Nothobranchius furzeri: one gene and its partners. The protein of the gene in region 1 interacts with the protein of each later gene in a biochemical or structural test. Links are inferred from orthologs where the notes say so. Each region holds a gene or a part of one and is shown in the gene's direction. Other genes may lie near its edges.

Region 1 (4,175 bases):
TACACAAGCTTTCACTAAATGTTTTCTTCATTTGGGAAGGTTTTTCTGCAGCCCCCTTTCTCGTCATGTTTCGTTTATTTTGTCTCTTGTCTGTTATCATTGTATCTCTAGTTTCTCTCTTGTGTTTTTTGTTTTCTGCCATTCGTTTCTTCTATTTTCATCCTCTTGTTATTCTAGGATCCCTGACTCCAGTTCCTCCTCTGTTTATCTTACTTCCAACATGACAGGCCAAACAGATCTGCTCATCTCAGTCCTTTCAGAGACCAGCTACTGTCCTTTTCTGTTATCTGTTGGAGCCAAACTAACAGCACCTTTCCCTCACAGATCTCCAGCCAGTAACATACTGTGAGCCAGCGTTCTGGTGCTCCATTTCCTACTACGAGCTGAACCAGCGAGTAGGGGAGACCTTCCACGCCTCACAGCCCTCGTTGACGGTGGATGGCTTCACAGACCCCTCAAACTCTGAGCGTTTCTGCCTCGGATTGTTGTCCAACGTCAACCGCAATGCAGCAGTGGAGTTAACACGCAGACACATCGGTGGGCATCAGCTCTGATTATAACAGATAAAACTGTCTGGTTAACGTCTCTGTGACATCCGTGCTTCTGCGTTTCTCTCTCTCAGGGCGTGGTGTGCGGCTGTACTACATCGGAGGAGAAGTGTTTGCAGAGTGTCTCAGTGATAGCGCTATCTTCGTCCAGAGCCCCAACTGTAATCAGCGTTATGGTTGGCACCCCGCCACTGTCTGCAAGATCCCCCCAGGTGTGTGTCCAGCTGATGGAGTCAGCAGAATCCTTTATAGACTGTGATGAGTTGGGAAAAGATACAGATGAGAGCGTAGAGTGATGGATGGAAACTGGGTTGGTAGCTTGATCCCCAGCTGTGTTGGAAACTATGTAGTGTGTATTCAGTTGTCCATGCATTTATTACTTCCTATTGTAATTCAGTGCTCTTTGGTATCTCCTCCTCCACCCTCGCTTGACTTCAGCTTGTGCAGAACGTAGCAGCTCGTTTCTTGACTGGCACCAGGCAGCGAGAACACATCACACCAGTTTTAGCAAATCTCCATTGGCTCCCCATCCATCTCCGTATAGAGTTTAAGATCCTGGTTTTTGTATTTAAATCCCTCAATAACTTAGCACCTAGCTACTTGTCTGAGCTCATTCACCCGTATGTCCCTACAAGATCCCTCCGATCAGCCGACCAGCACCTCCTACATGTCCCTAGCTCTCGCTGTAAATCCCGCGAGGAGCTCGCCTTTTCGGTTTGTGCACCGAAGCTCTGGAACCACTTGCCCCTCCTGATCAGACTCTCTTTCCCTTTTTAAGTCTCGTTTAAAAACTCACTTTTATTCGTTGGCTTTTAATTCAGTCTAACTTATTCTCTTTCTCCTTTTCTTTTCGAGTTGGATTACTCGATTTTAATGGTTTTAGTTTTTATTTTTGATTGTTTTTATTGTGTGTTTTTGTTCAGCACTTTGGTCGGCTCTCATGCGGTGTTTAAATGTGCTATACAAATAAACTTGGTATGGTATGTAGTGTGTATGGTCAGGAACCTTTTGTGAGAATTAGGTGTTATTAGATGTCTAGATGAATTAAAACTGAGTTATTCTCAGCTGCTGTGCTGCTTATATATCATCTTATCTGTGACATCACCTCTGTCATCATCAACTCAAGGATATCTCCTCTGACTCATCTCTCCTCTCATTAAAAACACAGACATGAGCTCTTTATTTACCAAAGGAGATGTTTGCTCAGGTCCATGTTGGAGTTTGTAGGTTCTTACGCGAATGTTTCATCTCCTAAGTTACTTTCAAATAAGCAGTCTTCTACAGACCGGTTCACACGGCAGGGTACTTCTTGACCCAATTCTCCCCTTCTGAAGATCCCACGGCAGATTACTGTGATGGCTCTGAAGATAATCTTATCGGATATCCTTGGCACTTGTTTAATTTTGGTGGTGGTGGTGGTGGGGGGGGGGGGGGATGGGGGGGGGGAGAAGAAAATATAATTTCTATAGCGCCTCTCAAGATAAAAATCACAAGGTGCTTCACAAAAACAAAAAATGTAAAAAATATGGAAAATGATTAAAAATATATTTTAAATGAGCAAAAATAGACAATTGTGATTAAAAAAAGGTTAAGAAAGAGAGAGAGTAACTAAGAGCATAAAGAGAGAGTGGTGAAGAAGGTCATACAAAAGCCAGCTTGAACAAGTGAGTCTTCAGCTGCTTTTTGAAGGAGACCACTGAATCCCCTGATCTCAGGCTCAGGGGGAGAGAGTTCCAGAGTCTGGGGGCCACAGCAGCAAATGATCTGTCACCTTTGGTCTTTAGCCTGGTGCTGCACAACCAGTAGGCTTTGACCACTGGACCTCAGGGACCTGCTGGGGGTGTAGGGACAAAGAAGATCACCAATGTATGATGGTGCTTGTCCATGTAAGGCCCTATAGACCAGAACCAGGATCTTGAAATGAACCCTGAAGTTGACTGGCAGCCAGTGAAGCTGGAGGAGAAGCGGGGTGATGTGGGTGTATTTGGAGAACTTGGTCAGAAGCCGAGCACAGGCATTCTGAACCACCTGTAGATGGTTCAGGGAAGTTCTGCTCAGACACGTGAAAAGAGAGTTACAGTAGTCTAAGAGTGAGGAGATGAAGGTGTGGATAACTGTCTCAAGTTCAGAGCGGGACAGAATGGGACTCAGCTTAGCAATGTTCCTGAGATGGAAGAAGGAAGAGCGAACAAGAGAACTGACATGAGAGTCCAGGGTGAGAGCTGGGTCAAAGGTCACTCCAAGATTCCTGGCAGAGGGTTTGGTGTGAGAAGCAAGCTGACCAAGAGAGTCTCTGACTTTGGGAACCAGCTTGTCTTGGGCACAGATGAGGATCTCAGTCTTATCTTCATTCAGCTGTGGAAAGCTCCCAGCCATCCAGGTTTTGATAGAGTCTAAGCAGGTGTGTAACAGCTGCAGCTTAGACATCTCATGGGGCTTAAAGGAGATGTACATCTTCGTCTTCGTCTTCCTCCGCTTATCCGGGTCCGGGTCGCGGGGGCAGCATCCCAATTAGGGAGCTCCAGGCCGTCCTCTCCCCGGCCTTGTCCACCAGCTCCTCCGGCAGGACCCCAAGGCGTTCCCGGACCAGATTGGAGATGTAACCTCTCCAACGTGTCCTGGGTCGACCCGGGGGCCTTCTGCCGGCAGGACATGCCCGAAACACCTCCCCGGGGAGGCGTCCAGGAGGCATCCTGACCAGATGCCCAAACCACCTCAACTGGCTCCTTTCGATCCGGATGAGCAGCGGTTCTACTCCGAATCCCTCCCGAATGTCCGAGCTCCGCACCCTATCTCTAAGGCTGAGCCCGGCCACCCTACGGAGGAAACTCATTTCGGCCGCTTGTATCGGCGATCTCGTTCTTTCGGTCATTACCCAAAGCTCATGACCATAGGTGAGGATTGGGACGTAGATCGACCGGTAAATCGAGAGCCTGGCTTTCTGGCTCAGCTCCCTCTTCCCCACGACAGATCGGCTCAGCGTCCGCATCACTGCAGACGCCGAACCAATCCGCCTGTCGATCTCCCGATCCCTCCTACCCTCACTCGTGAACAAGACCCCGAGATACTTAAACTCCTCCACTTGAGGTAGGACCTCTCCCCCGACCCGGAGGTGGCAAGCCACCCTTTTCCGGTCGAGAACCATGGTCTCAGATTTGGAGGTGCTGATCCTCATCCCAGCCGCTTCACATTCGGCCGCGAACCTACCCAGCAAGAGCTGAAGGTCAGAGCTGGATGAAGCTAGGAGGACCACATCATCCGCAAAAAGCAGAGACGAGATTCTCCTGCCACCAAACTCGACACACTCCACACCACGGCTGCGTCTAGAAATTCTGTCCATAAAAGTGATGAACAGAACCGGTGACAAAGGGCAGCCCTGGCGGAGTCCAACCCTCACTGGGAACAGGTCCGACTTACTACCGGCTATGCGGACCAAACTCACGCTCCTCTGGTAAAGGGACTGAATGGCCCTTAACAGAAAGCCACCCACCCCATACTCCTGGAGCGTCCCCCACAGGGTGCCCCTGGGGACACGGTCATAAGCCTTCTCCAAATCCACAAAGCACATGTGGATTGGTTGGGCAAACTCCCATGCCCCCTCCATCACCCTTGCAAGGGTATAGAGCT
Region 2 (4,175 bases), on another chromosome or scaffold:
TGCTGGGCTCAACAACAAACGGGAACAATGTGTTTTAGAATGGAATCAGTCTGTATTGCCACTGCTGCAAGAACAGTGGAAGGCGCTTTGGCGTCTCTCCGTGTATATGCGGTACACAGAAGAGATAAAATAACAAGTATGTACTAAAAGGAAGAATTGTGTATTTAAAAAAAAGCTGTGTATGGCATTGAGTTGAGGTTGGGGGGAGGGGTTTTGCTAAAACCGTAATAAATAAGGTTGTAATAAATACCGTTGGAAGATAATAATACTGGTTGCATTGCAGTATACATAGAAACACGATTTGTAAATATGAATAAGGTGCAGTGTCCATGTTGGTGAGTGTCGGTGGAGCAGTTACCTTTTCATCAGGGTGGAGGTAGAGCCTGTGCTGCACTAGCTGAGCCAGCGTCCTGCTTCTGCATGACAGAAACGACATTAGGTCCATAGTGTTCATGTGAAAAATCAAAAATTTTATTGTAATCTGACCAATTTGCTTTTGTTTCCACAGTCCAATAAAGTCCCTGTTGTGCAGCCGTCCCATGCAGTCCACCCTCTCACACCACTGATCACGTACAGCGATGAGCACTTTGCTCCAGGCTCCCATTCAGGCCATCATCCCCAGGATGCCAGCAACAAACAAGGTAAGAGACACGCCGACACAACGTCGTTTTGTGTTGTCTGAGTCGTCTCGAACTGTGAAGGAAAAAGCACCCGAGTCGGTCTCTAATCCAGCATCTGACTGGGATGCAACTGTTTGCAGGAACATCAACAGATTGTTAGTTGGAACTTCAATAAATTTGTACAAATGATCCTCGAGGAAGAAGTTTGAGTACGGCAGTGTTATGTTGGGCGAACAGAAGGGAACTGCCCTGCTAATGTTTCTTGTGGCGGTTTAGTTCTAACGTGTCTCGATTTGCTTACAGTTTACCCCGCATGCCATTTCAAGTTTGTTTACTAACTGCTCCATCGTATTGAGTTCTTTGAACTTTGACTCTCAAAAACTACATTGAGAAGGGTTTGAGACGGGTTCCAGACAGCTGTGATGACTCTAATAGGAGTAGAAACTAGTCGTGGCCCAAAACCAGCGACATTTTTCATCTGTGACTGAAGGAGTACAAAAACACGGAGCAAATGTTTTATTCATGGATGGAAATGGCAGGAAACGTGGGTTTAGAGGTGGCGACCGCATGAAGAGGTGGAGGAGAATGAGAATGTTATAAAGTCTCTAAAATACATGAACACATTCACTATCGTGGGATCGGATACATGGGTGTAATGGTGGCATGATACGCCAGAACAGAGCTACTCCCTCTGCTGTCCTGGCGGGGAACTGCTTTGCAACACTCCCCAGGTGACGGAGAAGTCCGAGAGCAAAACATCTCTGTCAATGAGTGTGTCTCTGCCTAGCGGAGCTGACGGAGATGTATAAATCAGGCTTAAGGGCTGCAAAATGCTTGGTTTTAACAGTGTGTATATACATGTTTATTATGACTGTCTCCTGTAATGTGCGTTGATTTAAAATGTTGTTTGTGCGCATCCCCCGAAATTAACGAGACGCGTTCGAACGCTGCAGTATACGAGTAACCAGTAGGCGGAGTTAACTAAACATGTGAGACACCCACCATGGTTTAGAGGACTTCCATACTATCTATGATACCGCTGCTGTCGTTTTTCCTGCCGGGATCTCCAAATGAAACAGATCTTTTCTATTGACACGATGTTTGTTTCGAACAAACCCTGGACTCTATCGGTCTGAACTGAGCCCCCTAACGAAGTCCTTCAGTACTACGTGCAGCGCAGTGCCGTGCAGCAGCAAGCATGTGAAAAAAGACGCAGCCTGCGCCAAAACACGTAAAAAGCAAGCATAACCCGACCCTAAGACTCTGGCTTTACGTGTCAAATCTGGGTGCCTGTTTTAAGAGAACACCTCCATAATCCCAGATCATGAATCAAGCTTAAACAAATGAAATCTAAAATGTGGTCTCGCTTTTACAGAAGCTCCAATCTACCATTCATGGACACAATTTTCACTTTAGAAGTGGGGGGGACAGTGGGGGGGGGGGGGGGGGGGGGGCTTTACAGTATGCTCTAATGGGAAACCGGCTTCAACACAAACGGTTGTTTTCTGCTTGGTCCTAGAGCTCAACCAGTGTCAATTTAATATAGCGTAATATTGTTTTTGGATGGTAAAAAGTGCAGGGGTCAAAACTTGACTTTGGAAAAAGTGTGTGGGGGGGGCATGTCCCCCCTGTCCCCCCCCCCAAAATTACGTCCATGCTACCATTGATCAAACTCGTACGTTAAAGCCATTATTGGATGATGTGCAGTTTATGCTAAAAATATTGGAAGTCATCTCGGAGGCAGCACAAGTATTCTTTTTTTAAACGACTGTCAACACCGTCAGGAATCCGTTGAGACACACACACAGAAATATGTCGGAGCGAAGTCACCCTGCCACCATCTTTTGCTGTGAAGTCATTTGAAGCAGCCGGTGGGATGTCGCGCTGAGCTCGTTGCCCTCTCCCTCTGCACTCGTTGCCTCTCAGGAATAACATCAAGCTGCAGCTCTGACAGCTGCAGAAGAGCTCCTCTGCCGTTTGGACGAGCTCCTTCAGCCCTGCGCAGCTGGAGGCTTTGGCAGCATCTCACTGATGCTAGCAGAGGAGGAGAAAAATTCAAAAAAAGACGTGGGCCAAGCGTGGTTTTGTCCCGCACCTTTTCACTTTCCTCCGCTTTCTTCTCCTGCAACTGTCACTTGAAAAGGATGAGGAGTACGAGGAGATGTAGGTGATGATGATGAGAAGGATGGGAGGCTCTGAGGGACCGGCTATAAATAATCCTACGGAACGAAGCGTGAATGTATGCGGTGCAGGGAGATGAAGGGAGCGGGACACGTAAAGAGACAACGCTCCACATCTGCAAAGCTTCTGAAACAGATGAGAGCTTTATTGTAATAGATGCATAAAAGGACTAACAGGCAACACAACAACAAATGCACCCGTCTTTTTCTGTGTGAAATTTTGCTTTTCACAAAAAAAGACGCAATAATTCCCCCGTTGGCAACTCCTTGATCTCTGCACTCACAGCCTAACAGAAATCCATGTCCAAGCTATCCAGTTGCAGAATTAGCTACAAATAATTTCCCCAGGCTGTGTGTGTGTGTGTGTGTGTGTGTGTGTGTGTGTGTGTGTGTGTGTGTGTGTGTGTGTGTGTGTGTGTGTGTGTGTGTGTGTGTGTGTGTGTGTGTGTGTGTGTGTGTGTGTGTGTGTGTGTGTGTGTGTGTGTGTGTGTGTGTGTGTGTGTGTGTGTGTGTGTGTGTGTGTGTGTGTGTGTGTGTGTGTGTGTGTGTGTGTGTGTGTGTGTGTGTGTGTCAGCAGAGCTAAGCCGAAGATGCTTAAAATGAAATCTCTCCCGTTCTTTTTTCCCCTTCCACAGTCCCTCTCGCTCTTTCTTCTCTCCTAATATCGACCAATAGCTGCTGTGCTTCCTTTAGTGGGCTCAGACTTTGATCTGCTCGTTAATTATGAAAAACAATCATGGATTTTCTCATTATGAGCTCTAATATGCACAGGGCTGCTGCGTGGGATGGAAGGTCGAGCAGAGGGGGGTGGGGGTGTTTGGAGAAAATAAATAAAATAAAGACGTTTTGTTTGGGACGTGTGAACATGAAGGGGCGAATAATTAGGCGTCATACACGTGTGAGCGACAAGGTTAACGCATCAGGGTGCTCTTTTCCTCCCCCCCACTGCTTCGCCACTCACCTGCCTCCCTTCTGCCCTCCTCAGGAGGGCCCTAAAGGAGTGTTAGGTGGTGGATTAGCAAGCGGGGAGCCGAGCTATCCGTGCTACGAATCCAGCGACGCAACATTGGCTTTGGAGATATAAGCCTCCCACCCGGCCTGCCTCTCGGAGGAGGGAGGCCCCTTCAGACCACGGCTTGGAGAGAGGAGGGGGAGGAAAAGATGGAAGCAAGGAGAAAAGGATGGCTCCAGCAGGGATTAGAAGACGGTGCTAATCTGGAAGCATTTGCCCTCTTTTTTTTTTCTTTTGTACACACAGGCGCGTGAACAGCTACATCACAAATCTGCATGTCCTTTTAAAAGTGGGCAAAACCGGTTGCTTCAAGTCAGAAAAGCAGGAAGTTGAAGCAGATGTTTGTCATCCTGCAGCACTGTC
Region 3 (4,697 bases), on another chromosome or scaffold:
AAGAAGAACAAATATAAATTATAAATACCCCTACTCACACGTCATGCTCCAGTTCGATGACCGCTCTTCACTGAGCCCAGCTGCATGGCGGGGCAACAAAGATGTTGTACCTCGTTCCTCTCCTTCATGGAACAGCAGTTATATGCATAACCTAACGTTCCCTTTCAGTCGATTCACTCTGTACAACACATATAGTATGGGACATATATACACGCCCCGCAGAGCAGTCATCAGAAAATCAGGCCCAAAAGGCGATGCTTTAGTGTGAGCCTTGTGATCCAGCAGACAAAACGGAGTGAGCCAGCGACAGTGCAGTCACATCCAAACGGTAAAACTGAGTAAACGTGTGCGGTGAAGACCCAACTGGCAGCAGCTCAGATGTCGCCCACTGGGGCTCCTCTGAAAAGGGCCCAGGATGCAGCTGCACCTCTGGTCGAATGAGCTCTCACTCCCTGAGGTAAATGGAGACCCTTGCTGACATAAGCAAGAGAAATAGCCTCCACCACCCAATGGGAGAGTCTTTGTCTGGACAGAGCTTTACCTCTGGCTGGATTGGCTAAACACATAAGCTGCTGATCACATAACCGCATACTCTGAGTACGGTTAATGTAGATATGTAAAGCGCGCACTGGGCACACAAATTGAAGCCTACTTTGTTCCTCTGAAGCAAAAGGAGGCAGATGAAAACTAGCCAGCTCAATGATCATGGACCTGTAACTAGATGGAAGCACTTTTGGGAGATGAGAAGCATTAGATTTAGATTAGATTAGATTTCAGATTTATTGGCCAAGTAAAAGTACATTTACAAGGAATTTGTCTTCGGTAGATGTTCGCTTTCTAAAACAGACAACAACCACAATAAATGAGAATAAAAATACCTAAAAACACATAACATGTATACCCACACACATGTTCATTTACACACACACACATATATACATACCCACGCGCACACACACACACACACACACACACACACACACATATCCATAAGCATACTGAATAAGTATTAAAAACTATAATAAAAAGATGGTAAAAGAATCTACAGATTCAGGAGAGAAATGGCTGAAGGAAAGAAACTTCTTGTGTCTGGTAGTTTTTGTGTACAGTGATCTATAGCATCTGCCAGATGGGAGGAGATGGAAGAGAGTAGATGCAGGATGTGTGGCATCTTGGACAATATTCAGTGCCTTTTTCCTGGTCCTGCTGATGTACAGTTCCTGGACAGAGGGCAGCTGGGCACCAATAATTTTTCCTGCTGTTTTAATAATACGCTGTAGTCTGCATTTGTCCATTTTTGTGGCTGACCCAAACCAGACAGTGATGGATGAGCAAAGTATGGATTCGACTGCAGCAGTATAGAAGATGATCAGCAGCTCTTGTGATAGGCCGTACTTCCTTAGTTGCCGTAAGAAATACATCCTCTGCTGAGCCTTTTTGAGGATGGAGTTGATGTTTGTTTCCCACTTCAGATCCCTGGAAATGATAGTTCCCAAGAACTTGAATGAGTCCACCATTGACACTGGGCTGTTGGATATTGTGAGGGGGGGCAGCACCGTGGGAAGCTTCCTAAAATCCACGACCATCCCCACAGTCTTAAGGGTGTTAAGCTCAAGATTGTGCTGACTACACCAGACCACCAGCCTCTCAGCTTCTCGTTAAGCAGACTCATCACCATCCCGGATGAGCCCAATGACAGTGGTGTCATCTGCAAATTTCAGGATTTTAACAGCCGTGTCTTTAGAGGTGCATTAGGTCCTAATGTGACCTTAGAGCCCCCAGCAGAGAATTGCACACATGACAGGTGCACTGAAAGTGCATGCAGGTAGCCGACACGTTTGGCAGACGCCAGTGCAAGAAGCAGAGCCGTTGTGTGTAAGATTTTTATATCAACCGACTCAAGTGGTTCAAACGTTGCGTCACACAGAGCATCCAGCACAGCTCTTAGGTCTGCGGACCCCTTTCAGGAAACGAATCGCTAAGGGGTGTGCACCTGGTGTCACTCCATCAATGCCAACATGGCAAGCAGAAATGGCAGCCAAGTAAACCTTGGTTGTGGAGAAAGATAGACCCCCCTCCACCAGTCCCTGTAAGAACGTTAATACGTCTACGATGGGGCACTGGAATGGAGCAATATTCCTGTTCAGACACCGCTTCTCAAAAGCTCTCTTTTTTAAAATATATAAGCTTCTAGTAGATGGTGCCCTAGCGCACTGAATAGTCTCAACCACAGCCAAAGGGAGACCCCTGGCTAATAAGCTGGACCTCTCATCAGGTAGACATGCAACATCCACAACTCTGGGCATGGATGAAGTATCTCTCCCTGCGCCCGCGACAGGAGATCGGGACAGTGAGGGAGTTCCCGGGGCTCCTCCACCAGCAAGCTGATTATCTCTGCACACCATGACTTTGCAGGCCAGCGAGGGGCCACCAGAATTAAGGTCAGGCTGTGTTCGCGTACCCTCTCCAGTATTGGAGGAATCATCTCCACCGGAGGAAATGCATACAGAAGCACTTTGGGCCACTGGTGAGATGGCGCGTCCACCCCCAGTGGAGCATTCTGATCGTCTATTGAAAAGAACAGAGGGCAGTGGGTGTTGTCTTTAGATGCAATCGCACAATCCTGTTACCTCAGCAAAGCAAAAAGCAGCTTGAAGGACCCCCCACCCCCACCCTGGCCGTGCCTGGTTTCAGCTGTTACCATCAGGCAGGCACTTCTAGACTAGAGGACAGCTTTTGTCCAGCAGCCATAACTCTTAATACAAACCTGTAGCAAAAAACAGCTGCAGTTACCGATCTAGAAGCCAATGAATGCTTTCTGGCGGTAGTATTTATTACTAGAACTTTTCATTCTTGGAGAATTTCGATGTTGAACGTTTGTCGCCAATGAATGCATCCTTTATAGCAGTGTCGTAAAATTATTATTGAAACTTTGATTTTCTTAGATTTTTACATTTTAAATGTGTGATGATGACTAAACGCACCACGCGGGGGGAGCAGTGCTCCCAGTTTTGCTGTAAGCCGAGCTCCGCTCACAATTAAGACTTGTTTCATCTTTCTGTCACATCTGTGTCACTCAGCCCTTCACTTCATATTTTTACTCCTAATGTAGGGTGGTTATGTAATTAAGTGTGTGTGAGTGTGAAACTACGGCTAATTAAAGTGAGTGGGTGTGTTTCAGATCCATGTGACGGTAGAGAAGAATCCAGAGCTAGGTTTCAGCATATCGGGAGGAGTTGGGGGCCGGGGAAACCCCTTCCGCCCCGATGATAATGTAACATTGATTTAGTATTATTTTTCTTTTACGAACATTACCATTAAAGATCATTTAATGGAAACCACTGATTATATCGTCCTTTGTTGTGTGACTTGCAGGGTATATTTGTGACGAGGGTTCAGCAAGAAGGACCAGCATCCAAGATTCTTCAGCCTGGAGATAAAATAATTCAGGTCTGACGTGTTTGTGATCAGCATCTGCCTAATTTGCAACAGCTGCTTCGAGTTATTCATTTTTTATTTTCTGTTTGCAGGCAAACGGCTACAGCTTTGTGAATATTGATCATGCTTATGCAGTCTCTCTGCTGAAGACATTTCCAGCCACTGTGGATTTAATTATCATAAGAGAAGTGCAGGCGTAGGCTCTGCTGGACGAGTGAGCACATGAAAGGAGAACAAAGATGGATGTAAACCCATATTTTTGTACTGATCTGCAGACACCTTTTCGGACTATTTATAGCTTGGCTCTTCAGAGGTCTGCGTCACCTCGATGAAACGGGGAAACCACTGAATGTAGTGGATCTCATGTGAAGCAGCAGCAAACACGTGCAAGTACATGTCGTCAAAGGCCATCACTGTGGTATATATCTATTTTTATACGAAGAACCTAAAAATGTGCTTTGATGAGAATACTGTGGTCTCTGTAAAGACTTTTTAATTCTTTTCGTTTTCAACTGAACCACTGATCAACAGTAAGGTTTTTGCTAATGGACATAAAGGTGGCCACTAGGGGGCAGGGCGCCCTCACTTCCTCCTTTGTCATCCAGTTTGCTTCTTCATTTTGGGATTTTTTATTTAATTTTTTTATTATTCAAATAATTTTTTTCTCTGCTGCCGGGCAACTTTATCAGCCGAACTGCGGTACGTGTTTCTCATTGGGGAGGTGAATGTCGATCAGGGCGGTGTTTGGTTTGGTTTTTATCACGAGGAAATCATCTAGTGCTGCTTCCATCAACCTGTGAAGATCCACCGGCTCACAACGCCCAAGTCCAGCTGCAATGCAGTCGGGAAATGTATCACGGCTTCTCAGACGGCGACGAAATGCATTCGGCATGTTACAAGGCAGGAAAGTCGAACGGAAATTTGTATATTTCTGAAAAATGAGTCAGTTTTTTTACCAAGTAAAACTGAGAGCAATAAGCCAATAATTTTCAGCAGAACTCCAGATAAAAAAACGCTCATTTAAAAATAAAACCTTTTATCTGTTGTAAGAAGAAAAAAGTGGTGGTTGTGCTGTTGAACCAAAGTAAGCATTAAAAATCAAACCTGCGGCAAAAACAGAGAATCCAAGGAAAGTCGTTTGTATAATCCATCTGTGTGATTTTGAATGGTTGTCAGCATCTAGTGTTTTTAACAGAAAACCACTGGTTGCCTTTGTACGTTTAAGTTGTTTTCTTTGTTTATCCATCGCTGGTGCAGTC
Region 4 (4,175 bases), on another chromosome or scaffold:
TATCCAAATCAGATCTAAGGATGTTATTATCAAGTTTGAATGTAATGATAAAAGGTTAAGTTTTATAATTAATTTAATGCTTCTTTTAGGGAAATTTCATATACATAAAGCGAGGGTCTCCAAATCTCTCCCTAACTTTTGCGTTTTCTTAAATGACTTCCATTCATATGTTAACACCATAAAGTTAATTGTAAATAAGAAGGCAGAACTCACTTTAATAAGTCTTTAATGTTTATTTCTGATTGACCCTGTATAACAAAAACAATCACAAAATGTACCTTTTGGAAGGTTGTATTATCTGTTATGTGCCTCTTGTTGATTAATGAGCTGATGTCTGTTCGTGTGTATATTTGATGTATGTTTGTTAGTGTGACTATGTATTTGTGACAAAAACAAATAAAGTTTGTTAAAAAAAAACAGCGCGAGACTCAGAAGAGACCAGAGACGCTCCTTTCTGCTGGGAGCACACGTGACCACAAAGTCAACACTTCATAGGAATGCTTGAAATAATTTGAAAGGCTTGAATCGCATTTGGCACTTTTGAGATTTTAATTCATTTCATTTTTAAAAAGTGTTGAAACTAGCTGAAAATAGTGAAATCACAATGGCATTTTAGATCATTTTGAGCAATTTATGTATGTTTTTAATTCTGGCAAAGGCACAAGTCTCCTGCATAGATAGTAAACGTTCATGTCAATAATAGAAACAAAAAAATGTTCAAATGTGAGAAAGAAGCTGTTGTTTTCCCACTCGTTTACTTATTTATTTGTTTATTTTGGCATCCTCTGTCTTAATCTGGATTTACAGCTGGATCTCAAAGGTTCAGTCAGCATGCAGAAAATAGAAATGTACAATATAGTTAAAGGAAGAAAGAAGGAACAATATTTTATTCAGCACCTCTCAAGATAAAAATAAGAAGGCTCTTCATTTGGACAAAAATGTTTTTTTTAAATATCGTAAAATATGATCACCTCAAGGTTGGACTACTCCAATGCAATTCTGTTTGGCATTTCAAAAGCCGCATTATCTCGCCTTCAGCTGATACAAAATGCGACAGCAAGATTTCTGACCAATACTGGCCGTCGGCAGCACATCACTCCCATTTTAGCAAGACTTCACTGGCTTCCTGTGCACTACCGTATACGTTTTAAAATTTTATTGTTTGTTTTTAAGGCACTGAATGGCTTAGCACCACCCTACATATCCGAGTTACTCACTCCTTATGTGCCAGGCAGGACTCTCCGTTCAGGTGACCTACACCTATTAAAGATTCCCCGTCAACGCTGCAAAACCCGTGGTGAACGAGCTTTTTCTGTCTGCGCTCCAAAACTCTGGAATGATCTCCCGCTGCATATCAGACTCTCCTCCTCCATTGGGGTTTTTAAGTCTCACTTAAAGACTTACTTTTATTCTCTTGCTTTTACTACCTAGCTATTTTATCGATGGTTTATTTACACTGTTCTTTTACTGATTTTATTGACTTCTCATTGTTGGTTCTTTGTGTTTTGCTCTAGTTGTTTTATTCTTTTATATTATTCTTTTAACCTTATATGTTTTTACCCCTGTACAGCACTTTGGTCAGCTCACATGCTGTTTTTAAATGTGCTTTATCAAATAAATGGAATGGAATGGAATGGAATGATCAAAGTAAAAGTTGCGATTAAAAATGTGGAGGAAAGGGAACAAGAAACCGAATAAAAAAAAATAGATAGTTAGTGGATCCCAGGGGAAATGCAGTATGGCTGCAAGAGCAGAATGGAGAAGGAAGTGATGAAAAAGAGAAGAAACAAAATAAAATTTTATGCACAGATTAAAACTTTGCTTATTTTTATATTTTCTCTGTGGTCTTGATGTCAAGTTGTTGTTTTTGTTGTTGTTAGCCTCAAGGGCAACATGCCGATTATCACTTGTAAGTCGCTTTGGACAAAAGCGTCTGCTAAATACATAAACATAAAGTATTTTGCATTTTTCTCTTTACAAAATTGTTTATTAATGGTTTAAGTGAGCAATAACTATTCATTTTTGTCTTTTCTTGTAACCTTTGTAATAAAAATATAGATGCACGTTGAAATTTAAACATTTATGGGGTTTTTTCTCTTGCAGGCAAGGTTTACTACTTTAATCACATCACCAATGCCAGCCAGTGGGAACGTCCAGTGGGAGACGGCCGTGGAGAGCCAGATAAGGTGTTGCAATAACAACAACAATAAACTTTAATTACACAAGTTGGATTTTTTTTCTACTATTTAACAGGAAATGTGACATTTAAAATAAACTTGGCAAAAACAAAACATAAGGAAATTTGTTTTCAGTTGAATACTTCCAAGTTTGTGTTGCTGGTTTAAAGTACCCATCAAAGAGACTGATATGGAGGATCTGTTTTATTCAACAGTTTAGAAAATGCTGAAGTATGTTTTCTGTGACTGAATATGAAATAATCCTGATTAGTTGAATCAGTTTGGCTGCACAATGAGTACGTTTACATGCAGCCAATATCCGGGTTATGATCGGGTTAAGGTCGGCATTCGGGTTTCTGAGTTGTTCAGAATAACCCGTTTACAAGCACGAGTTACCCCTAACTTGCATAACCCGATGTAAATGCGGACGTTGGGGCAGCGTCAGGACGTGTGGACTACGTCCAGATGCAATATGCATCATTTCCGGTTCTTCTTGTTCTGGTATCCGTGAAAACAACAAAATTTTTCCCAGTTCGGAAGAGATAGCGACCGTGTTTGTTTGCGCTTTAGTTTCCTCGTCACTCAAAGTGTGGTGCTGTGCCACGACTCGCCATGTTGCTCCCAACTTGTTTACTTCTGGTGTTCTGGCGCATACAAGACGTCTCGCTACTCAAAAGACCAAGATTCCTTGCGAACAGAGCATGCGCAGAACACACGCTTTGATGGGGATATCCCGGTATGCATTTACACGACCAAACATTCGGGTTAGAAAAGGGTTACCCCAGGTGTAGTAACCGGGTTTTTAAAAACCCGGTTATGAGCATATCCGGGTTTCTGGTGGTGTTTACAAGGACCTGCGGAACCGGGTTATTGTGAATATTCGGGTTTTAAAAGGGTTACTGGCTGCATGTAAACGCACTGAATAACTGACTTTGACAAGACAGGCTGTTTATGGAAAAATGATGCATAAACTTTTCAGTCATCTTCTATAACTGCTTCTTTCAAAATGCTTTTGATTTCATGTGTTCAGTGCTTAATGCTTAGTATGAAAAATAAAATGGATCCTTAATGGGTCAGGTGATTGATGATTAGCTCTTTCGATGAAAGTTCTCGGCCATTTTTGTGTTTTTCTTACAGGTCCGCTGCTCTCACCTCCTGGTGAAACATAATCAGTCGCGTCGTCCATCTTCTTGGCGGGAACAAAATATTACACGAACTAAAGATGAGGCCTTGGAGTTCATTCAGAGTAAGTTAGACCAAGCAGAAGAGGAACGGAGGTGTCACTCTGCAGAAGTCTGATCGTTTCATGTCCTTTTTTCCTGCTCAGAGTACATAGAACAGATCAAGTCTGGACATGAATCGTTTGAGTCCTTAGCTTCACAGTTCAGCGACTGCAGCTCAGCCAAGAACGGTGGTGATCTCGGACTGTTTGGCAGAGGTATTAAAACATCACGATCTGGGTCGGACTATTCAGTTTAGTTCTCTGTTTAGATTTGTAGCCATTCGGATCAGTTGGACTTTGTTCCCAGGATAAATGTTTGTGTAGATTTTTATTATTTTTTTAAACATCGAGTGTGTGTGAGAGCAAGGGACAGGTTCAACACTTAACTTGGTTATTTACTAAAACCAACACCTTCTCCCGGTGTTATAGTTTTGCTTTTAACTGTAATACCCCAAAAAGTTTTCCTCTAATAAGTCTGAAGTAACAATAAAATCAAAGTGAAGATTTTTCTGAAAGTCTTAATATAACTGTCTGTAGATGAAAGAAACTGGTTTATAGAGACCAAGATGTTTTGGAAGTCTTATTTGTTTCAGATTGTAAACTTAAAATAATCAGAAAACACAGCTTTTTGTGTGGAAAAATAAAAACTCATTTATAACAAGTAAAAGGGAACGAGACACCAAATGCAACGGCAGGCAGAAACTATCAAATGTTTTATTTTTTCTGTAGAACCCTGGCGGGTGTGTGAATGTTGATCAAATTTGTATTAATTAGTG
Region 5 (3,559 bases), about 17 Mb from region 1:
GGCCGCTGAGCCAAAAGTAACATTTTATAATGTTTAATGTGCTAAATTATGGTTGTATTCTAATCTGCTGACAGCCTGGTGATACAGTGGAGGTTTGTGAACAGAATACAGAAGCAGATGATGGCTTTTAAGGAGGTAATTTTTTTATTTTCAGGGTATCCGCAGGTCCTTAAAAAGTCTTAAAAAGTCTTAAATTTGCTTTTCCAAATTTAAGGCCTTAAAAATCCTTCAAAATTAATAATAATCCTTAAATACAGTTTCCAAAGGTCTTAAATGACCAAAGACCCAATAAACAAGATTATTTTTATTTCAATTTTCATGAATTTCTAGTTAGTGTTCAGCATTTTTTGTGTACGATGTTAGCGTAAGCGGAACCATACACATTCAGTTGGTAATGAAAGGGGGCTTTTTTAGATGAACACATTAGCTGTTTAAGCTAGTGCGAGATTGCGTCATGGGGACGTGCAACTTTTATGGTAACTGGATGGCTAATCCCACGTTCGCAACGTGGTTAGCACCGGTTCCAGGCAATAGCTGGAAATTATAGCTTAAATTTAATTTTAAAAAATAGCTTAAATTTGGTCAAAGTGGCCTTAAAAAGGTCTTAAAAAGTCTTAAATTTGGCTCCCTTAAACCTGCAGATACCCTGTATTTTACAACCAGAGAAACACAATAAAGCAACAAAAAATGGGAACATAGGGAAATCTGTTAACTGTTTGTGTTTTTAGGGATTCTTCGAGCTGATACCACAAGATCTGATCAAGATCTTTGATGAGAATGAGCTTGAGGTGACTTTTCGTTTATTTCATTGTGAATTTGTAACATTCAGATAAAAAATGGCAAATTCCTCATCTGCTTTACCCCACAGCTGCTCATGTGTGGCCTAGGAGACGTAGATGTGAAAGACTGGAGGCAGAATACCAAGTACAAGAATGGCTACTGCGCCGAACACATCGTGATCCACTGGTTTTGGAAAGTAAGACAAACTTCCACACCTGGTTGAAGATGAGCCTTGGCTTCAGTCATTTTTCAGGTCTTATTATTGTTGTTTTAGACCGTACTGCTGATGGATGCAGAGAAGCGAATTCGGCTTTTGCAGTTTGTGACGGGAACGTCCCGGGTACCGATGAACGGCTTTGCTGAACTTTATGGTAAGAAAACCTACGTAGTCATAAACCTGGTTCCTGGGTTTGTTTTGATGTTTTCTGTGTGTGATAATACAACTGTACTCAGACTAACATCACACATTCTGCTGAACAAGTCATTTTTAAGTTAAGGTCTTTTCAAATAAGACAAACAAAAAAGGGTCGGACCTGTCATCGTTTCTGTGGAAGATAAACTCGGCTCTGAGATCAGCTACCCGTCTGGAGTCTGAGGCCATGAGAATATCACTAGTGTTGGTTGATGAGCTCTACATCATGACTGAAACCCTTCAAACTGAAAATTTGTGTAAATGCTCTCACAAGTGCTGCTCATCTACCCTTCATTTGCTTTTAGATCTAACACAAATATCTGATGTTTAGGTCTGTAAGTAGCCAGAGCTCCTGGATCAAAATCACGTCTCCTTTCACTCTTGTGTTATACTAGTTTGATGAGATTCAGACAAAAATGCAAACTTTTAAATGTAAGCCAGAGCCATGGTTGGATTTGGGTCTTTTCTGACTTGACCCTTAGAAGTTCTGACTTCAAATGGAATGAACCAACAATCTTTACCTCCTGCTTGTGCTAAATAGTTTTTGCACAACCATTTTGAGTTCAAATGTTTCCTGATGCTTTTATATCCAGGGTCTAACGGGCCACAGCTGTTTACCATTGAGCAATGGGGTACACGTGATAAACTTCCTAGAGCCCACACATGGTGAGTGCTTCTCTGTGGTTCTGTTTTGCAATGGTATTAACGTCTGTGAAAGTGGGCGCTGACGTTTAAATAAGCTAAGTTAAATACTTTTTTTTTTTACATTATTGGCTGCTCTGCTGTTTTAGTTATCTGTCAGGTAGCTGATAAACAGTCTGCACAAAAATGTGTTTTTAGTTTGAGTGTATTTGATGTTTGTTTTTGATTGCACATCATCCAAAGACAAGTTTCTGAACATACATAGGTTTGGATCTTCTAGGTTTGGTTTTGTATTCAGAAAGTAAATTTGATTAGGAAATACTGCCCTTTCTGCTGCATTTGATGGGATTTAGTGAAGATGGAGGCTTTGGAGAATGTCATGCTATTTCTGATGAATTTGTCTTGTTTTACAGCCTCATCTTGTTCCACTTGGCTCATTAAAAACATTACATCTTTGTTATGATTTCAAGGAAACAGCTTTTAAATTAATTCACACTTGAAATCAACTCTAGGCCAGATTATTTGGGAAATAAGAAAATAATAAAACACGTCTGATTGTAATACATTTTTAGTATGTTTTCCTATTGATCATTTTTGGTGGAATCTCATTTAACTACAGATTTGTATGATTCCTGTTTAATTCTAACCCTGTTTTCTTTGTTTTTCCCTCCTAAAGCTTCAACCGTCTGGACCTTCCTCCTTACGAGTCATTTGAGGAACTGAAGGAGAAGCTTAATGTCGCCATTGAGAATACACAAGGCTTCGATGGGGTGGATTAGTGTGCACGCAAGGAAACAACATTACTGTGGTCAGAAAAAAAGCCAGGCAGCATGGCCTGGTGGAAAAAACAAGCTGTGCATCTGAAGGGGATTTTAACCCACCAGCTGTGTGACAGATGAAGGAACCCTTACTTCTTTTCTCTGTTGGTGCTCACGTTAAAAACAGGATGCAAAAATCTGGAGTAACTGAGGTATTTTTTGTCACTCCACGTCTTCTAAAATCAGGTTTTCATCAGGTTTTCATTTTATCTGATTCTAGATTGTTAGTCGCTCAAAGGTGTATGTATGTACTCGTTCTGCTAAAATGCTTTGAAATAGTATAAAAATAACTTTATTCTGTGAAATAATGCAAAGCGATACTGTGAATCAAACTGATTTAGATGTCGTAAACATTCGACCTTAAATAATCTGATCTGAATCAGAATCACTCAACATCAACATCATCATAAAATAATAACAATAATTATTATTAATAATATTAATAAAAAATAACATTAACAACAATAAACAAACTGACAAAAGGGGCTATGGGTTCAACTAAGACCCTCCAACAAGGTTGTCAAGGTTGATATAACAATAATTTTGACTATAAAAGCAAACAGAAATTTTCACAACATTACATATACACATCCATGATCTGAGCCTGCTATTCCATGTAGGGTCACAGGGGCTGGTGCCTGTCTCCAGCAGTCAATGGGCAAGCAGGCGGCGTACACCCTGGACAGGTTGCCAGTCTATCGCAGAGCAACACAAGAGACACGTGGGACAATCAATCAAGCACACACAAACACTCACACCTAAGGATAATTTTAGACAGACCAATTAACCTGACAGTCATATTTTTGGACTCTGGGAGGAAGCAGAAGTACCCGGGGAGAACCCATGCATGCACAGGGAGAAACATGCAGAAACCCTGGACCTTCTTGCTGCAAGGCAACAGCCCTAA
Region 6 (4,175 bases), on another chromosome or scaffold:
AGACGTTAGCTCATCAGTCCTGTAGGATGCCAATACCATTTTTCCAAGCAAAGGTCTTTCAGGAAGTTACGACAGGTAAATGCACCTTAAGTAGCTCAAAAATCAATTTTAACCTGACATCCTTTTCAACATTTCTATCTTCCTAAGTAGTTTGGTCACTAAATATGTTTTGGATACAAACAAACTGACTGCAAATCCACACTGGAGGCATTAGCGGTGTGGAACGGCGCTGCTTCACCATTGTAGTCCATGGGTTAACCCAAACTGGCCTGTGGCGCGGAACATTTCAGGCGTAGTCCGGACGTGGCTCGCTGGCCTGCCAGACTCCTCAGGGTCTGGGAACTCTCCTATTCAAATAACCCCGCCCCCTGAGAATTGTAACCGAGCCAATCGGCGCTGAGTAGCGTACGTCACACACCACAACGCCGAGTTAGTCATAAACATGGCGACTGAAGCGGAGTTCGCTCTGGTCTAAATGACTTGAACATCTTTAAAACCACAACAAGTAGAAGCGCTGAAAGCCTTTCTTCTAAAGAAACAAGTTTGCGCCGTCGCCAGACGCCATTTTTGGCTACAGCTAAAAAACGACAGCGTCGCGCGGTACAGTCGGCATTTCCGTCGTTTTTCTGATTGGTTATTTTTGAGCTGTCTAGTCCCGCCCCTCATGTGCCTCTCTGCCTGTGAGTCACCAGAGTCTCTGTGCAGAATTAAACGGAGGACGAGTCTGGCAGGCCAGGCTAGCTAAAGATAGAACTGGGTTGTATTTTTGATGAGCTGCTTCTAAGAAAGTTCACATAGAGCTAGACAGGAAGTCACCCACAGTTTCATTGTAAAACGTCTGGTAATTTTCAAAATAAAAGATAATTGCAGAGATGCGATTTCTTATCTATATGCATTACGTCAATACATGTGACCTTTCCTCCCAGCATTGTTGAGAAGTACAGCCGTGTGTTTTTCATGGCTTTAATCCTGATAGTGGAGAGGAACAACAACATATGACATCAAATGTGATCTCCTCCTTGGCATAAACAAACCGGGACCTTTGAAGTCTGGAGGGATTTTGTGAGTCCGGTGAGGAGGATCACAGACGAGTTGCTCCGCCGCAGAGATTCCCCGGTGTAGATTGACGCACCGCAAAGCACGCGAGTAAACCGTCCCGCTGCCATTCCGCTCCACTGATGCCTTGAGTGTGGATTCAGGGTGTGACGTACCAGCATAATTAACAACACGACACATCTTAAACTCTTCACGTCTAACATCTTTTGTGGTTCTGTGTTTCTCCAGCTTTAAGCCTTGCTCTGCCTCCATCATGTCGTCACGGGTGTTGCTGCGGCAGCAGCTAATGAGGGAACAAGCTCAGGAGCAGGAGAGGCGAGAGGCCCAGCAGCAGGCCTCTGTCTCTCAGCTCCGAGCCTCTGATTCCACTCCAGCCATCTCCGTCAGCCTGGCCACAAACGGGGCCCGCCCTCCTCCTGCTCAGGTGCCTGTGGAGGTGCTGAAAGTAAGGCCGCCTGCTTCTGCATAGTACTCAAGTGTCATTTAAAAAATAATTCGGTGCTGTAACTCATTTAAAAGCGTGGTTCGCTGAAAAAACATGTTTAATGATTGTGACTCACTGAGGTTTTCATTCAGGCCGAACATGAAAGTATTCTGTGATGATAACAGACGGTGAAATGCTTGGATTTAAAAAGTCTCACACGTCTACTTCACACTGACTTGGCGTTCAGGGCCTCGCCGACCTTGACTTGCAAATGTTTTTCCGAGTGCCGCTTGCATCAAATTAAAACTGAACAAGGTGTTGAAATCATGAGAAAGTCACCGCATTCTCCTCTTCTTAGTATTTTATACAGGATGTTCAGAAATCGTACAGGTTTTGGAGTAAAGGTATGTAACAAGTATTGAAACGGTTCAGGTGCAGACCCACTTGGAGAACCCCACCAAGTACCACATCCAGCAGGCCCAGAGGCAGCAGGTGAAGCAGTACCTGTCTACCACTTTGGGCAACAAGGCGGTGACTCAGACCCTCGGCGTGTCGCCGGTCCCACAGTCCAGTTCGGCCCCTGAGGTCGGCCCTTCTGCCAGCAGTGCCCCTAACAGTCCCATGGCTCTGCTCAACATCGGATCCAACAAGGAGGAAGTAAGGGGAATTCCTGCTTTCTTACCAGTGGTTTGATTTCTCCTGTGTGAGTTTCATTTGCTTGTACAGCAGATTGCCCAACGCTGCTGGTCGTTGGCCTTCCTGCAGATCTGCACGTCGTTTTGAGGAAGTTAAAAGTGGATCCCCTTGCTCATTTTTCTTTAATTAGTTTGTTATAGCATGTTAAGCTGGAAGCTCCCACTGCAACGATGCAAGCCTTCTGATCATCACACCCCTGTTAGCCTGTTGTCACAATAGCATGTTAAATGTTGCACCTCCTCCTATTTACTGACCTCCTCGGAGCTCCTGCTTTGGGTTCAGCACTTCTGTTAGAAGTGCTGTGAGTTTTTAGCCTGTTAAAGGCTAAAAACTCACAGCATGTTGCCTTAATGAGAACGAACATTCACCTGTGGGTGTTTGTCTTTCATGTAGATCGACGATGTGATCGACGACATTATTAGTCTTGAATCCAGTCTGAACGATGACATCATTACGCTGATCGACTCAGGCCTGCAGCTGCCCAGCACGGTATGATAAACAACGCTTTTATTTGATTTTCTTTTTGCTACTTCCTCTAAAATTCAGATGTTGGATGACAGAAAACTCCAGGTTTGGTCTTAGTACGTGTTCTAAAGTCGGGGTGCTTTTTCTGTGAATGCACGTCCCTTTTCTGTGAGGAATTCTGAATCTGTGGGAGCAAACATACATTTGTGTCACTTTCTTACTATTTGCCACAGACGTGCTGCCTGGGCGGGGTAAAGCTATCAGAGGGGGAAGTGAGACAAAGTGGATTTTGCTGACTAGATAGTACAGCAGTCGGTTAAACGGTAGTTAGGACAGTCGCAACAGAGGGCCAGAGAGAAAATGAGAATTATGGTGATCCTTTTGGAAGACAAGAAGAAAGTCAGTGAGGTAAATCTGCTCTTTTGCTTTTGGAAAGAACAACAAGCGTCACCCAGCCTTGGTATTCAGGTAGAAAGATTAGATTGTTTGCTGTCCTCGAACAGCTTCAGTTAACTGAAAAGTTTCCGTTCTTATTGCCATGTGCAGCTTTCAGAAGCAATCTGTTCATATTTCAATTTTGGTTTCATTTCCAATCATAAAAGACAATTTAGTTTACACAAAAACCATTTACATAGTTTAGTCCCATCCTGTGTGTGTGTGTGTGTGTGTGCGTGTGCGTTAAGGTTTGGGTTAGGCGCAATCCTGTCACTAAAATGAATTCAATTCAAAGATAATTAATTAGACTTGCTAAGGGGGAGAGGGAGGGAGGGAGGGAGGGAGAGAGAGTGAGAGAGAGAGAGAGAGAGTGCGAGAGCGAGAGAGTGCGAGAGCGAGAGAGCGAGAGAGAGAGAGAGAGAGAGAGAGAGAGAGAGAGAGAGAGAGAGAGAGAGAGAGAGAGAGAGAGAGAGAGAGAGAGAGAGAGAGAGAGAGAGAGAGAGAGAGAGAGAGAGAGAGAGAGAGAGAGAGAGAGAGAGAGAGAGAGAGAGAGAGAGAGAGAGAGAGAGAGAGAGAGAGAGAGAGAGAGAGAGAGAGAGAGAGAGAGAGAGAGAGAGAGAGAGAGAGAGAGAGAGAGAGAGAGAGAGACCCACAATCTGTGTGGCAAAGCAGCCAGCAACGTGTATAAGCAACTTCCTGTTTGGACATTCAGGCTCCCGTAGCAGTTCTCTACATTTATAGCAGCTCTGCTCATGGACTGGTCGATTTAGTGGAATATTAATTTTAACATGTTTTAAATTTGTGTTTGAAAGTTATAAGTAATATAAGTAGCCAGAACATTCTTATGATGGTCTGATTAGATTCTAGTAAAACCCTCCTGCTGTCATGTTGGGGACCCCCCAGGACAGGGGATGGTTGATGCTTTATCCTTCAGGATCCTTGTGGCAGGGGTGAGGTGGTGCTCAATCCCCCCCAAAAAACACCTGGGGTCTATTGGACCCCGTTAGGAATGCAGATGGTTGGAGAAAAATAGCAAACACTACATTTCAGCCAGAACTCCAAACAGAGGGCTTGCTGCAGCAGGATTAGTCAAGGAACT
Region 7 (4,747 bases), on another chromosome or scaffold:
GTCGCATTCTCCCACCGGATGTTTGGATCAAAATGAGAACCAATCAGATCTTAGATCAGGTGAGAGCCAGGCGTTTCCCATCATGCCCTAGGTGTTGCAGCCAGTGGAGAGCAGCTGCAGCGAACTGCTCCAACATCTGAGGCCGCCTTCATCTCACGAGGTTATCGTTGCCTACGTAGGCGTGACGTCAGACACAAATCTAACGGGCATGCACCGCGAGCCGATCAACGGTGATCTAATCTGTGCAGAGCTGGCTCATCTCAAACACGGCCATACTTTCATCACAAGCTCCTCCCCATCCAGGAAGTCTTGGATCTGGATCCCTCCTCCCCTGGACTGTAATCACTAACACCCAGGCTCTCCATGTAGCTAGCCGGGACTTTAATCTCCTCCGTTGTGTGGAAGTGTCTGCACTTTAAATAAAACCCAGAAACCAAAAATGGATTTTTGTCTGCAAGAGGAACAGATCCTGAAGAAGAGCTTAATCTGCAGAAATGGTTGGATTTTTCTCTTCTGGACTCTCTAAACTGAGCCGTGACGATGATTTCACTGACTGCTTGTTAAACCACCACCATGACTGGAGTACATTTTCAGATGGATTACTTGTTCAAATGGGCACCATTCCAACTTTTAAACCACAGGATGGACGGGTCAGAGCGGTGAGCACAACCAAAACGCTAACCACTAGCTGAGTACTTATAAAGTTTGGTGGGTGAGAGTCAGGGACAGGCTGGGACAATAATTCAGGCCAGGAAACAGCTCCCATCTCAGCACCTTTACTTCATTTAAGTGGTGTGTGTGTGTGTGTGTGTGTGTGTGTGTGTGTGTGTGTGTGTGTGTGTGTGTGTGTGTGTGTGTGTGTGCGTGTGTGCGTGTGTGCGTGTGTGTGTGTCGGTCTATACATCAAAGTGAGGACCAAATCAATCTTTTTGTTTTACCTACAAACTGAGGACATTGGTAGCAAAGTGAGGACATTTTGCTGGTCCTTACTTTAGGACAATGTCCCAGAGTTCTACTGGTTATTTTTAGCGGTTTGGTGTGACTTGTTAGGGTTAGGAGTGGACTGGTTATGGTTAGAGGTAGGTCTAGGGTAAGGGTTAGGCACAATCCAGTCACTAAAATGAATAGAAGTCAAGGACGGTCCTCACAACGAATGCTAGTGTGTGTGTGCGCGTGCGTGCGTGTAAAACATAATTTTTTTCATGAAGATTAAATGAAGAAGATTTAAGCACATTTTTAAATTGTATTTATTTACACATGAAAATAAATATTTAAGTAAAATAATTAGGGTGAAAATGAGTTAGAACTTCTATTTTAGTTTATTTTATGACAGGAACTTTATTCACGTGATGATGCTGAAGCAGCTCATTTTAAATACTTTCTTTTCCAGGTGAATATGTTACAATCTTTTAATTTGTTCTATTTTGAAGGGCATCCGGTGACAGTGACGTGACTTCAGAAAGGCAGCGTTGGGTGGGCGTGGCTAGGCCGTTGGTCGTGACCAATCAGCGGGCGGCTGCGTGTCTGAGCGGAGCAGCGGTCGCGCGCAGCGGAGCAGAAAGCGGTGCAGCGGCTCCAGCTCGGTCCTCTCCGCGGCTCTCCGTGCCTTCGGCTCCGGGTCGGATGGATCTGTAACCCGCTGAGAGATCAACTCCTCCGCTCTGCGCTTCTTCACATGCGCGGGCTCTTCTCGCCTTTCAGCGGATTAGAGTTGGTTTTTGCTGGATTTTATTCCCCGCCAGAAGCAGCAGGATGAAGTACAAAGTGAGTTCCGCTTCTTTCTGCTTTTCCCGTTAAACGCTGGACGTGGCGTGGTTCTGACTCAGCCCAGAAGCTGTAAGCGTTCAGGTCACTTCTCAACCTCCCAGCGGAAACATCCAGTTAGGTGGAAGTTTTTAAGGGGAGAGACTTGGCAGAGGAAACGCTGCCAGGTCCTTCTGAGCAGGAGCCCTGCAGCCCTGGAGCGCACGGAGGGCACCAGGGGCCAGGCTGGGCCCCCCAGCAGAACCAAGTGAGGGTAAAAGCTCTGAAGCAGGGTGGAAAGCTCAGGTTTGGGTGTTTGGCGTGGCCGACAACACCGCTCAGGTCTGTAATTTAGTGGTTGGATGATGAGAGTTGCAGACTGGAAACCAGTGACGCCATCCAGGGCCGTAGTGAATTACACCACAGGCACAAAAACAGTCGGAGCAGAGAAACCAGCACCTCCTCCACTGCGCTGGACCTCGTGTGTAACTAAACCCAAACACTGGCATCTAGTCCAGATGATTAAAATGCTGAAACACGTCTGTGGTTCTGCTTCTGGGGTTCAGTCGTCAATCACAGCCATGAGCTGGAACCCGTTTCTGTGTGAGGTTCTGCTCTGTTTGGGTCTCCTGGTTCCGGTGTCACCCCACGTCATGCTCCGAGCGGACTCACCCTCCTGTTGAGTGCACGGGAGGAGCAGGACGCAGGGGTCAGTGAGTTACAGCAGGTCTCCATGGCAACAGTGATCATCATAAACAGGATCAGAGGATTGTGATAAACACGACCCACAGCAGAGCCGTGCACGCTGACATGTTGTGTTTGTAGATATCAGGAGGTTGTTTCCACTGCGCTTATAATAAACACACACACACACACACGCAGGCAGGCAGGCACGCGCGCGCGCGTCATGAAAACACAGCCAGAGGACATAAAAACAGCCACTCAGGCGTCACATCAGCATCATCAGGCTTCAGCTGCTCTGTTCCTAGCGTCCATCGGTCGTGTACAGAAACACGAAGGTGAGATGTTTCCGACAGGTGTTCAGGTGTGACGGGGATCCTCCACGGGTCACATGATCCCCTCCCCGGTAATGAGTCCACTCTGGTGGACACACAAGAGATTGTTGCTGTTTTGTTTTATGAGGTCATTTCTCTAAATCCGGTGTACTTACGGCATCCCTTTACGTTCATTAACATGCAATAATTAAATCTTGAAACCAAAAGTCAGACATTTTATTGTTAAAGTTTTTAAATCCTAAATATTGTGATGTTGTTATTCAACCGTTTGAGACTCCGCCCACCTTGCTTACATAATCCCAGAGGAAAAATCGCCTGGCGTTCGGAATCGGCTGCGTCGGCGTGATTACTGCTAATTCTTGCTAACAGTAGCAGGTCTGCCATGTGGACGTTTTCACGTCTAAAATCAGAATTTCCTAGATAAGCAGACTTTTTAAATTGATTTATCACATTTATCTAAGTTATTTGAGACCAACTGGAATCGGCACGCTAGCTCCACAAGAGCTGGTATCGGCCCTCAGACCAGAATCGGTGCACCTCTGGTTTTTCTGAGAGGTTTGAGCAGATTTCTCTTCCTGATCAGCACTAGAACTTCTGCCGGTCCCAAACTGAAAACAACGCGTCATAAATGGAATTTGGCACGTTCAAAAATGTAAACAGAAAAAGGAGCTGCTGTAAACGTTCAACAGTTCAAATCTCCAGTTTTACAGTTACATGAAAAAGGTTATAATTAAATTTAGTTTGACTTGCAAAGCTTCTAAAGTTTAAATGATGCGTCGGGAGCAGCTTCCTCCAGATCAGACGCTCCCAAACAAAAAAGCCCAGGTCTAACTAACCTAACAGGAAGTATTTATAGAACAGTGACGCTCCGGCTGATTTTATTGGAATGGTATGAAGTGTTGGGATACAACCCTCCCCCCCACCCCCCGCAGAGTTCCTGGGCAGCTGATGTCAGTGCTGCAGAAATAGGAGCGATGAGGTGGACCGTCTGAGCCCGGAATGTGTGTTTTCCTCCGAGTTTCATGGCTGGGACTGCGGGCAGCGGGCCAGCGGCGCTGAAGGAGGGCTGACATTGTTCTGGGGGTGAGGAGGAGGAGGTCCTGAAAGGCTCTGGAAAAAGGAAGTGGTGGGGTGGGGGTGGGAGGTGGAGGGTGAGAATGGGAGCGTTCCAGGCGACGCTTCGTTGTTTCACTTTGTTAATGAAGGTTTTCTTTCCCAGACGTCTGTTTGAGTGTCGGAACAACGAGACGTTTGTGTTGGGATTTGTTCAGCGGAAACCCGTCGTCTCCAGATGACGCCACGGTGGAGGAAAGTGTCTTTTGTTAATGAAGATGTTTAGATGAAGGTTTCCTTGGATTCAGGTGCTGGTTTGATTCATTCGAATCACCAAAACCTTCATCGGGTCCTGAGATCTGGATCAGGACCCGATAAACCACATCCTGGATCCAAGCTGATCTTGGAGATGGGGAGAAGGAGCTCCATCAGCCTGGAGGAGCTCAGAGAGTAGCTGCTGCTCCTCACTGCAGGAGGCAGCTGAGGTGCTTCAGATTCCTCCTGGTCTCTCCTCTCTGGAGGTTCTTCTGGAGCCAGACCCAGATCCCTCTGGGGGGATCCTTAAAACCTGGGAAGAGATTGGGATCCTCCAGGAGGAGCTGGAGGGAGTCTGGACCTCCTTGATCTTGTTTGTGAGGGTTCAGGTGTCCGACGTCCTGATTGAGATCATCATTAGAAAAGCACCGATGATGGTTTCCAGGGCCAATCCCGATGTCAGAGCTCAGACCTGCTGATTCCTATTTCTGTTCCTGTGATGGGATCGTTGAGTTTCTGATTGGTCCATCATCTAGAATACTGGCCGATTTCGGTCATCAGATGATTTTTTTTATTGATAAGAATGAATTTTCTGAGGCTGTATTTTTTATTGTTAGCAGAAACAAATAAAAAGTTTAGATGAAAGCCTCCCTTAGACGATCTCTGGACCTCCTGCTCCT

The links.
Region 2: the proteins of smad3a (region 1) and lef1 form a complex in vitro, tested with the Homo sapiens proteins (2 studies listed by BioGRID, with this or other methods). The link is inferred for Nothobranchius furzeri from reciprocal best matches to the Homo sapiens genes SMAD3 and LEF1.
Region 3: the proteins of smad3a (region 1) and erbin form a complex in vitro, tested with the Homo sapiens proteins (2 studies listed by BioGRID). The link is inferred for Nothobranchius furzeri from reciprocal best matches to the Homo sapiens genes SMAD3 and ERBIN.
Region 4: the proteins of smad3a (region 1) and pin1 form a complex in vitro, tested with the Homo sapiens proteins (2 studies listed by BioGRID, with this or other methods). The link is inferred for Nothobranchius furzeri from reciprocal best matches to the Homo sapiens genes SMAD3 and PIN1.
Region 5: the proteins of smad3a (region 1) and nedd4a interact in a test that uses a peptide from one of them, tested with the Homo sapiens proteins (3 studies listed by BioGRID and IntAct, with this or other methods). The link is inferred for Nothobranchius furzeri from reciprocal best matches to the Homo sapiens genes SMAD3 and NEDD4.
Region 6: the proteins of smad3a (region 1) and tfe3b form a complex in vitro, tested with the Homo sapiens proteins (2 studies listed by BioGRID). The link is inferred for Nothobranchius furzeri from reciprocal best matches to the Homo sapiens genes SMAD3 and TFE3.
Region 7: the proteins of smad3a (region 1) and nedd9 form a complex in vitro, tested with the Homo sapiens proteins (2 studies listed by BioGRID). The link is inferred for Nothobranchius furzeri from reciprocal best matches to the Homo sapiens genes SMAD3 and NEDD9.

Annotation. Positions count from the first base shown.
Region 1 is NC_091749.1:43,537,636-43,541,810, forward strand, and holds part of smad3a (mothers against decapentaplegic homolog 3a), read left to right. Parts: intron 1-324; coding exon 325-537; intron 538-622; coding exon 623-760; intron 761-4,175. UniProt on the Homo sapiens protein: Receptor-regulated SMAD (R-SMAD) that is an intracellular signal transducer and transcriptional modulator activated by TGF-beta (transforming growth factor) and activin type 1 receptor kinases.
Region 2 is NC_091746.1:81,737,459-81,741,633, reverse strand, and holds part of lef1 (lymphoid enhancer-binding factor 1), read left to right. Parts: intron 1-508; coding exon 509-641; intron 642-4,175. UniProt on the Homo sapiens protein: Transcription factor that binds DNA in a sequence-specific manner. Participates in the Wnt signaling pathway. Activates transcription of target genes in the presence of CTNNB1 and EP300.
Region 3 is NC_091746.1:65,208,870-65,213,566, reverse strand, and holds the end of erbin (erbin), read left to right. Parts: intron 1-3,181; coding exon 3,182-3,274; intron 3,275-3,375; coding exon 3,376-3,450; intron 3,451-3,530; coding exon 3,531-3,638; 3' UTR 3,639-3,854; downstream 3,855-4,697. UniProt on the Homo sapiens protein: Acts as an adapter for the receptor ERBB2, in epithelia. By binding the unphosphorylated 'Tyr-1248' of receptor ERBB2, it may contribute to stabilize this unphosphorylated state.
Region 4 is NC_091744.1:9,162,537-9,166,711, forward strand, and holds part of pin1 (peptidyl-prolyl cis-trans isomerase NIMA-interacting 1), read left to right. Parts: intron 1-2,103; coding exon 2,104-2,186; intron 2,187-3,314; coding exon 3,315-3,423; intron 3,424-3,504; coding exon 3,505-3,615; intron 3,616-4,175. UniProt on the Homo sapiens protein: Peptidyl-prolyl cis/trans isomerase (PPIase) that binds to and isomerizes specific phosphorylated Ser/Thr-Pro (pSer/Thr-Pro) motifs.
Region 5 is NC_091749.1:60,037,759-60,041,317, forward strand, and holds the end of nedd4a (E3 ubiquitin-protein ligase NEDD4), read left to right. Parts: intron 1-74; coding exon 75-135; intron 136-728; coding exon 729-788; intron 789-868; coding exon 869-976; intron 977-1,054; coding exon 1,055-1,151; intron 1,152-1,785; coding exon 1,786-1,858; intron 1,859-2,510; coding exon 2,511-2,613; 3' UTR 2,614-2,846; downstream 2,847-3,559. UniProt on the Homo sapiens protein: E3 ubiquitin-protein ligase which accepts ubiquitin from an E2 ubiquitin-conjugating enzyme in the form of a thioester and then directly transfers the ubiquitin to targeted substrates. Specifically ubiquitinates 'Lys-63' in target proteins.
Region 6 is NC_091743.1:40,793,683-40,797,857, forward strand, and holds part of tfe3b (transcription factor E3b), read left to right. Parts: intron 1-1,284; coding exon 1,285-1,501; intron 1,502-1,912; coding exon 1,913-2,137; intron 2,138-2,569; coding exon 2,570-2,665; intron 2,666-4,175. UniProt on the Homo sapiens protein: Transcription factor that acts as a master regulator of lysosomal biogenesis and immune response.
Region 7 is NC_091759.1:25,474,040-25,478,786, forward strand, and holds the start of nedd9 (enhancer of filamentation 1), read left to right. Parts: upstream 1-1,529; 5' UTR 1,530-1,752; coding exon 1,753-1,764; intron 1,765-4,747. UniProt on the Homo sapiens protein: Scaffolding protein which plays a central coordinating role for tyrosine-kinase-based signaling related to cell adhesion. As a focal adhesion protein, plays a role in embryonic fibroblast migration.